2 linked regions of the Daphnia pulex genome follow. The protein of the gene in region 2 interacts with the protein of the main gene of each other region in a pairwise test. Links are inferred from orthologs where the notes say so. Each region holds a gene or a part of one and is shown on either strand. Other genes may lie near its edges. The genes, in order: smoothened homolog and kinesin-like protein KIF7.

Evidence for each region.
Region 1: the proteins of kinesin-like protein KIF7 (region 2) and smoothened homolog interact in binary tests that used the Drosophila melanogaster proteins (3 or more experiments, as listed by UniProt). The link is inferred for Daphnia pulex from reciprocal best matches to the Drosophila melanogaster genes cos and smo.

The regions. Positions count from the first base shown.
Region 1 is NC_060027.1:3,194,242-3,198,699, reverse strand, and holds the start of smoothened homolog, read right to left. Parts: upstream 2,825-4,458; 5' UTR 2,140-2,824; intron 2,069-2,139; 5' UTR 1,771-2,068; intron 1,707-1,770; 5' UTR 1,587-1,706; intron 1,529-1,586; 5' UTR 898-1,528; coding exon 586-897; intron 523-585; coding exon 400-522; intron 344-399; coding exon 230-343; intron 171-229; coding exon 1-170. Other genes in the region: programmed cell death protein 2-like, read left to right, coding at 3,125-3,217, 3,279-4,394. UniProt on the Drosophila melanogaster protein: Segment polarity protein required for correct patterning of every segment. G protein-coupled receptor which associates with the patched protein (ptc) to transduce the hedgehog (hh) signal through the activation of an inhibitory G-protein.
Region 2 is NC_060028.1:3,197,094-3,201,614, reverse strand, and holds the start of kinesin-like protein KIF7, read right to left. Parts: upstream 2,989-4,521; 5' UTR 2,785-2,988; coding exon 2,725-2,784; intron 2,642-2,724; coding exon 2,455-2,641; intron 2,373-2,454; coding exon 2,227-2,372; intron 2,142-2,226; coding exon 2,019-2,141; intron 1,939-2,018; coding exon 1,767-1,938; intron 1,700-1,766; coding exon 1,455-1,699; intron 1,371-1,454; coding exon 1,012-1,370; intron 949-1,011; coding exon 665-948; intron 605-664; coding exon 516-604; intron 435-515; coding exon 98-434; intron 1-97. UniProt on the Drosophila melanogaster protein: Regulates cubitus interruptus (ci) processing by recruiting multiple kinases to promote its efficient phosphorylation.

The sequences.
Region 1 (4,458 bases), on a different chromosome or scaffold from region 2:
GTCTGTGTGAATCGTTGGACTTGTTCATGTTCCTCCTTTGTAAACAGCGGGGAAGTGCAAGGCAGTCCGCATCCGTCAACTCCTTCAACATAAGCCAAACTATTGTCCGTTTCCACCAGAGGAGACTGGCACTTTGGAGTGATGTTGAATTTCAATTCTCTCACCTCATTCTGCAAGAGAAAAAAGTTTCGTTAGTAATAGCAAATGAATGCACATAATAATTACAAACTTTGCAGCCAGAAGGGAATTTTTCAGTGTCTTCACATCTCATAAAATCTGGCCAGCCATTCCTGTGTTCAAGTTCCACAATTCTGCAAGGATTACGAATAACCTTGCACATTTCCTGTAAGTAAAATGTCATTGAGTGATTGAACATACTTATTCTAATTTTGTATGTACCTGAGAAGGAAGTTCTACTGTTCCATTTTCACATCTTGGCATGTAGAGAGCACACAAAAAGGGTTGAATCACAGCCCAGCATTTGGGAACACTTTTCAAGTTCTGCCAAAACATGAGCTTATCCTAGAAGAAAAACAAAGGATTAGCCAAACCTGTAAAAGGACAATGCAAATCATGTTGCCAAACCTGAACATCATCCTGAGTGTGTGAATCGGTAACCAGTTCCAAAGATGTTTGTGAATATGGTAATTTCGTTGTCAAGCAAATGTTGTTTTTGATTGGCTGACATTTTGCTGTTTTACGGCAGAAATCTTGTCCTTCAGTCCTTCTCAAGTCACTAGTTAAGGCGTGCCGTAGGTAAGGCTGCTCAATCCTCGACCTAGAGCCTGAACTTGTGGGTATGTCATTTAAAACTATTCCTCCTTCAGTGCTACTAGATTTCGGTCTGGCGACAACTGTGCCGATGGACAGAAGAAAGGCCACGGAAACCCACTTCATTCTTCCACACGCCACTGAACTTCAATATTCCTCACCAGTGAACAGTAAGCCGCAAAGCCAGCCACATTTGCGGTGCTCAGAGTTACTTTTTCTTCAGCAAACAACACGACAGAATTTCAATTTTTCCAGCTAATCCAACATGACTGACATTAAAACTTTCGTTGAAGCTTAATATCTTAGTTTTTTCCTTTGAAAAGACGCAACAAGAGACCCAAGGACAAGGACAAAAAACTTTGCTTGCTGCTCCTATGTTTTTAAACGACCCCACACGTCGAACCCAGGTGAAGCCGTTTCTGGCCACATTGTTTTTGTTATGCGGAAATAGAATTGTTTGTCATTTGTTTTTCTTTACAATATATTATTAGCGTTATTCAAACTTACTGCGAAAATAAATGTTAAAAAATTATATATATTTTAAAATAATACGTTAAATTTCTAATTGAGGAAGTTGTGTGTGATTTTAGTTTTTACTGGCTGGATATTGTTTCGTTCAAAGGGCAATTTAGGCGGCTGGTTTTGAAATGAATATTCACGCCATCAGAACATTTGGAAGTTTGCGAAATTTTGGCCATTAACTTGGGTTCGCGAAGAAGCCAACCAAAAGAATTACAGTCGCATTGTAGCATGGTTCCTGCATAAAAAGGTTTTTAATTATTCGTGAAAGCCAAACGTGAATCAATTGAGTTTACCGTGAAGTTGGATATGTCCTGCACCACGGGCGAGTACATTTAGAATCGGCCGAAAAGTAGCTTCCTCCAGTTGGGTGAGATTAGTTTTCTTCAAGTCAATAATCGTGCTAAAGCTAATCCCTAATTTAATGATTGAATTAGCTATTCATCAGCAGAAATTTAATTAAAATCATGTGTTTTCTACCTTGGATAGCATTTGGATGAATACCACTGCTCAAGTCGTTATCACTCAAGTCTACCAGATCAACTCGCGGAGATAGAAAATGCAAATCTCCAGCATCCAACTGTCGCAATTGATTGCCGAAGAGAACAATCTTTCTCAAACTAGGCAAGAAAGCTAGATCAAGAGGTTTGATAGTTGTCAACTTGCCAGAGTTCAACCAGAGCGAGTGAAGTTTAGGCAGTTGCGGTAGATTGGGTGGAACAGAAAACCTATTGCCATAAAGGTGTAGATATTGCAAGTTGGGTAAAGAAGGAAAATCCTAATAAATGCAAATGAGAAATAACCGTGAGTGGTCGTGAATTTAAACCGGCCAAAATCAGAAGGGCATACTATCAATTGATCGACGCTGGCTGTCACTTCAAAGTCGACAAGATTTTCCAAGTCAGCAATTCCTTGAACTGAAAGGACGTTGAGCGACGGCGATGAGTCGAAAGTCAGGACACGAAGTCTATCGACGGAAGCGGCAAATGCGTGTGGCATAATCTTGCTCACGCCAGTCACATTTTGGAACAAAATGACGACAAATGACTTGTCACCAAGGAGATTGGCTTCCAAGTCATCCAAGTGGCTGTGTTTCACCGTCAAATGCCAGAGTTGATTAACAGGGTACGGCGGTTCAAAGATTTTCATTAATTGTTGGACACTTTGTAGGTTAGCACAAACCATGGAGACGACATTGTTCTCGGTTTGGCATTGACACGGCGTAATTAGACGAGGATCGGGACATGTTGCAATTATTCCAGTCACGAATGTGGAAATGATAATAATCGACTGGAAAATGTTCCAGCGGCGCACAATTGATTCAACCAGATCCGTTTTCATCATTGTCAGAGATGCGACTGAAACTTTTTCGTGAGTCTTATTCGTTTTGTGCTGGTGTTATTCAAATCAGGTTTCTCCCTCCTCTTTTCTTCTTCTTCTTCCTTTTCTTCTCCGCTTGTGACTGGCCATTTAAAACACGGGTAGTGATTATACATAAGCCCTTTAGCGGCGAGCGTGTGCGCAACTTTGTAGGCCATAAGGTCACCTTCACCATTCGATCCATCATTATAAGAATGAGTGCACGCACGGTTTCCACTTCCTTATTACTTTGCTCCACTACTCTATAATTGTCCAGGTCTATTGATTATTAAACGAATCCTAAATAAAACTGTGGAAAAAACAAAACAGTAATTTATTCAACAACATTGCGAAGAACTCGAAAGATTCTGTTCAGCCCTATCCATATTTTTGCTTTGAAATCTGTCACAATTTTTTTTCTTTTGATAAGAATCGTTTGTTAAAATAAAATAATTATATCAATTTTATTTCGAAAATGACCTATTTGTTGGGTATGGAAGATGAACCTATCGGTAAAGACGATAATGCAATAATTAACTTTCAAGTCAACAAAGTTGGGGGAAAACCGGTAAATCCTTACTTTTTTCATCATAAATTTACTGATAATAACAAATAATTTTGTATCCTAGAATTGGGCAAGTGGAGACTACCCAAATCCTGGTTGTAAATTGTGCAACAGAAAGATGTTACTTGCTGTTCAAATTTATGCACCTCTAGATGATTCCCCGAATCACAGAACATTATACCAATTTTGTTGCCTGGCTCCTCAATGCCACAGCAAAAAGGAAGGATGGATTTGTTTACGGGATGAAGTAGCTGATACATCTACCACTTTAACTTCTGCCAAAGTACAAACAGCAACTACAGCCTCAACCACAACTTGGATTGATGATGCTGACGACTGGGGTGATGACGAAAATATGGAGAGTGGCACTGGGACCCCCACCACTATCAATGACAGACCTGATGAAGTTACTGTGCATGAACTTGAAATTGGCTCCCTAACAATCCAGAACATGGACAGTTCTAGCCCTGAACATCCTGCACCATCAAACAGTGCTGATACTTGTGATAATATGATGAATGTCCCTACAGCGGAAGTAGAAGGTGTTGAAGAATCTGTTCTGTTAGATGATCTACCTCCTCAGCCAACTGTTGACATCAGAACTTTCTTTGCACCTCCATCTGCTCCTATTCCCGATTTTTCTGGCTCTGAATTCTCAAGCTTTTATCTCAATGTGGTTGAAGAGCAATACGCTGCTGTACTCTCCGATCAAAAGTTGGACGAGCGAGCCAAACAACTTTGGGAAGAATACCAACGCCGGGAAAATTGCGACTTGAAACAAATGCAGAAGAGCAGTAAAAGTACTCCAGGTCGAGTAGACGAAGTGTACGAGAAAGTTCCCCCTAGTCACGGCGATCGATTGGTACACAAGTTCGTCACTCAAGTGCAGGCCTGTCCCGAGCAGCTGATCCGCTATAATCGTGGAGCAAGTAACCCACTTCTACTCAAGCAGCTCGCCAAAGAAGACCCGGTCCTTTTTAAGTGCCAACATTGTAATGCTACCCTTGTCTTCGAAATGCAGCTGATGCCCCATCTTGGTCAACGCTTGACAATAGAAGATTCTGCAGCGCAAACGCCTGGCATCGAATTGGACACAGTTTTAATCTATTCTTGTTCTAAAAGTTGTTGGAACGGAGTTCCGCGTGAAGAATACTTGATTGTTCAAACGGAAATATATTAAAGCCTTATAGTTGACCAACATTTTTAGCATCGATGACTCTAGGTGTACATAACCATGTAAAATG
Region 2 (4,521 bases):
CCAAGAAGCAACAAAGATGTTTAGTGTTTAAAAAAATATAAGATATCATCGACTATAGGTTGAAAATTCAAAACTGATTCAACTACTTAGTACTTACTTGGATGATTAGATGATGATTCATTATTTACAGATTCTGGAGTTGATAAACGAGTTTCACCTATTAGAGGCTGTTGGTCTACTGCATTTGAAAGACCGAATATACTAACTCTTCGACCAGTTCTTAGAGGTTTCGGACTGGTATTCCCACTTTTATAATTGCTAGTTGATTGTTCGCGGTCAAATTCAGCGTGTTGAGATAAATCAATAGGATTTGATGCACCCCATTCTAAAGACGTTGCGTTATCATACATTGACTCGATGCTTGAGATTAAACGGTCAGTTGTTTCTCTAAATTGCTGCCTTAATATATCCAGTTGCTCCGTAAAGTGAGACCCCTAATATGAAAGAAATTATACGATATTTTCATTTTACGTTTTTTTATGTTAAACAGAATGCTGCATTATTCCCGTTCTTACATCAGATGACGAGTCTATGGACGACCGATCATGCCTGTTACTCAGTTCAGAAGAAAGTTCACGGGTTGGAGTGGGCTCGGATACCTCTTCTACAAATTAATATAATAGTTAAAACGACTATCACACGCACACACTAAAGATTTAGTTACCAATGACATGGAGTGTTTTAGATTCACCACTGGTGTGAAATATGCTTGTTGTGATAGGCAAGTCTGTCAGGTGACTGCCATCGGTATCACTCTGAATTCTGTTTCGCGGTTTGATGGTTAACAAATCGGGATCAATACAGTTTGCGTATTCCTCTTTCAAACAAAGCCAAGATTCTATTTTGTTTTTGGTGTCATTTCCAAGCAACCCAGATGCAGCCAACTCATTTAAAAGTGTTTCGGCGTTGGTCACCAGTAATTGCCACTGACTTGCTGCGAATCGTAATCTATGGGAAAGAGAAATGCAATTGCTGAATGAAAGCTTCAATTTATAAATTTAAAAGTCTGACCTAAAAACTTCATCTCCGTCTGTTTGTTCAGGATCATGATATACAGATCGATTTTCTTCATTGTCCCTCATAGGATTAGCTTGACAAGTAAATGGAGTTTCATTCATTTGAAATTGCGGAATGTTAGGCGGTGACACAAGTTCCGTCACACCAGCCAAATTAAAAGGGCGAGCGTTTATGCCCATTGCCATCAAAGGAATATTAGCTATCGGTGTAAGGCGGACATTCGCTACTGGGCGATTACAAATGTTTGCTGCCCTTGATGCGAACTTCAACGTATTCGTCGTCTCTTCCAAATCAGAAGCCGAAGGAGAAAGGCACACAATCATCAAGGTGAAGGCATTACCACCCAGTGAATCCTACATGAATAAATTTAAATGCACAGTTAGATCGTAACCAAAAGAGAGAGTGAAAAAGAAATGTTTTTGACAAAATAAACACACTTTCAGAATGTAGGTTAATTTCGAATCCCAATAAGGCACGTGGCTAGCTTTTCTTCTAGGATCACCCAATGCAGCCGTGACATTACTTAACGCAAGAAGGCCAGAATTAATGGAAAATGGTTCCTGAAATCCTGTTAGTTGTGTATCGTCGTTTCCATGATTACTGGTAACACCGAGGCCAAGTCTTTCCGATCCAGCCAAGTCGACAAAATGGAGTTTAGAACACACTTCATACAAACATCCATCTGAAAGAAAATATGTCAAGTTTCATTGAGAAAATTATCAACAAAAGAATAAAGAAAAGTAGTCAACCTTGTGTCCATGCCTGTTGCATATAGAGTGTGAAAATTCCATGGGATCTACTTGAGAGTTGATTTAACATGGGCCCAGTATGTCTTAAAGCCAGACCAGTTTCAAGACAGCTAAATACATCATCAATGGTATGACATTCCATTTGTGTTGCTCCAGTGATGATGATTTCTCCCTAAATTCAATATGTAATAATTATAGCATTGCTATTATCAGCAATTTCACATTTAAATTTTTTTTTTTTTTAAATAATACATTTTGATCTTCTTGTACAGTAATTTCACCATGAAAGGGTTCCATACTCAGAAGATCATGAATTTCTTCATCATAGATTTCTAAATAGCTTGCTTGGATAGAGATCTGTCTTCCGGGGTATTCCTAATTAAAAAAAATTCCCAAAATATCAAACAAAAACCAATTTAGTTATTTAATCTTCACATATTTATTACTTCAAACTGTTTACTTTAGCTTTGTAAAACAAGTTACGAACAGTCCGTGGAACCATACCAAAATCAGATTCATTCATGGTGTAGAGCAATCCAGGTCCAAATATTGTAAATGTTTTCCCAGATCCAGTTTGTCCATACGCTATTACAGTTATGTTGAAACCTGACATACCAATACCATATAAGATGACGTTAAAAGTATAAGAAGTTGCATAACAGTTCTTTTCTTAAATTATTTAACAGACCATCAAAACAAGCATTGACAATTGGCTCGACATATCCTTTGAATATTGCCTGTTGAGGACAATCAAATGGGAGAACATTGCCCAAATGAAATAACCGATTGTTTCCCAGCACAATTGTTCCATGGGATGGATCAATTTGAAAATATGGTGTTGGTAAAACATGATCAGTTGTTTGTAGTGAACGAATCTAGTTAAATTTCAAAAATTGTGAACAATGGGTTGAAATACAATTACTTAATGAAAAAAAAAATGGTTAAAGTTCTTGTTTACCCGGGTTACGAGTTGAACTCGGGCTTGTAAATCCCTGTCTTGACTAGCGCTGAAAAGCATCACGACATTGATAATACAGTTAAGAATAGTTCTTGTTGGATAAATTAACCAATTAACAATTCGGATCGCACAACTGACAGTAGGAAAAGATGATCACACAACACCTGACGTAATTGTATATTATTATTTTCAAGGAAACAGAAACAACAACACCTTTTCCCTTTTACTTTAAATGTCAAAAAAAGAAGGGTGTCCGTAAAGTGCAGGGTGCAGGTGCAGGTTGGACGGTGGGTAAAAAGCGGAACCCGGAGTGCAGGGGCCCTGCACTTTCCCCAACCGAGCGGCTCCCTTGGTAAAATACAGGTTTAGAATTCTACACTAAAATGCAGGTTAGGAAAAGTGCAATGTGCAGTGAAATTTTATGTTTGACTGCCTTCAGTCAGTTATTATCCATTTGCGTGTACTTTTTATTTATTGTCTACACTCTGTTGCGCGCTGAATTATGAGGGCCCAAAACCGCCACTTTTTCAATATAAATTTTTTTTCAAAATATCAATACATAAAACAGAAAAGAATATAAAAATAAAAAAATTCAATATAAAAACTGGTAAAAAGTATTACATAAAAACCAAAAAGAGTAATATAAAAAACAAAAAGTTAATATAAAAACCAAAAAAGTCAATATAAAACCCAAAAAAAGTTCAATACAAAACTCCAAAAAAGTTCAATATAAAAATGGCAGCCACCTAGTGGTCAAAATAATAACTTCATGCCACATCTAAACCTCCACTCAACCAACCTAACCTGCACTTTCTGTGAGCAGCATTTGGGCCTGCATTTTACCCACCTACCTGCACGCCGCACCCTGCACTCCGGGTTCCGCACTTTACCCACCGTCTAACCTGCACCTGCACCCTGCACTTTACCAACACCTCAAAAAGAAAGCGCAGCGGCTAGATTTCCAAGTTTACCATTTTTTAATGGCAACTGCTACTTAGCTTTGCACCTTACACATATTTTAAAATACTCGACTCCGTCATGTTGTTCGTCGTCCAGGACAGCCTTTACCTCCCACTCCTCGTCATCCATTCACTGCATTAATCTAAAAAAAAATGGAATTATTAGGAAATTAAAATTGCGAAAAAAATTAATCACGATTACCTTTGCTTTTCAGCTTCAAGAAACTGTTTAAGTTTTTGAATGTCATCATTCTTTTAGCGGAACTGCTTACTCATTTTTCTCGATTGTTCGAAAAAAGCATTGTACATGTTGACCTAAAAAAATTTAATATTAGAAATAATGACATTACACAGTAAAAAACAATAAAAAAATACCAATTTGGCCATGCCATTCTCCAATTGTTGACTGGTGACGACGTCTTCTTCTTCAATTTCAGCTACTTCCCCTACGCCATCGTCCACATCTTCAACATCCATACAAGAAACTTCTTCCTCTGCTTCCTTGAAATTTCCAACAGGCAAAGTTTCTAGTGCAGATACAGGTACAAGTACAGGAGGTTCAAAAGTAGTTCTTTCATATGGAATATAAACAGGATCACCTATTCCGTAGTGAAAAATTTGAGGATATGTACATTCCTAAATTGTTAACAATAAGAAACGTTGTTCAAGTAAAAAATAATAAAATGAAAGAAAACATAAGAGATATACCTTGTGCATTTATCGAAGCCACATTCGCTTTTGAATACCAGTTTCGTTGAACACTTCATACAAATTCTATCTATTAGACTGACGTATAGACGAAACACTGAAGTCCAAGTCCAGTACATATTCATTGTCT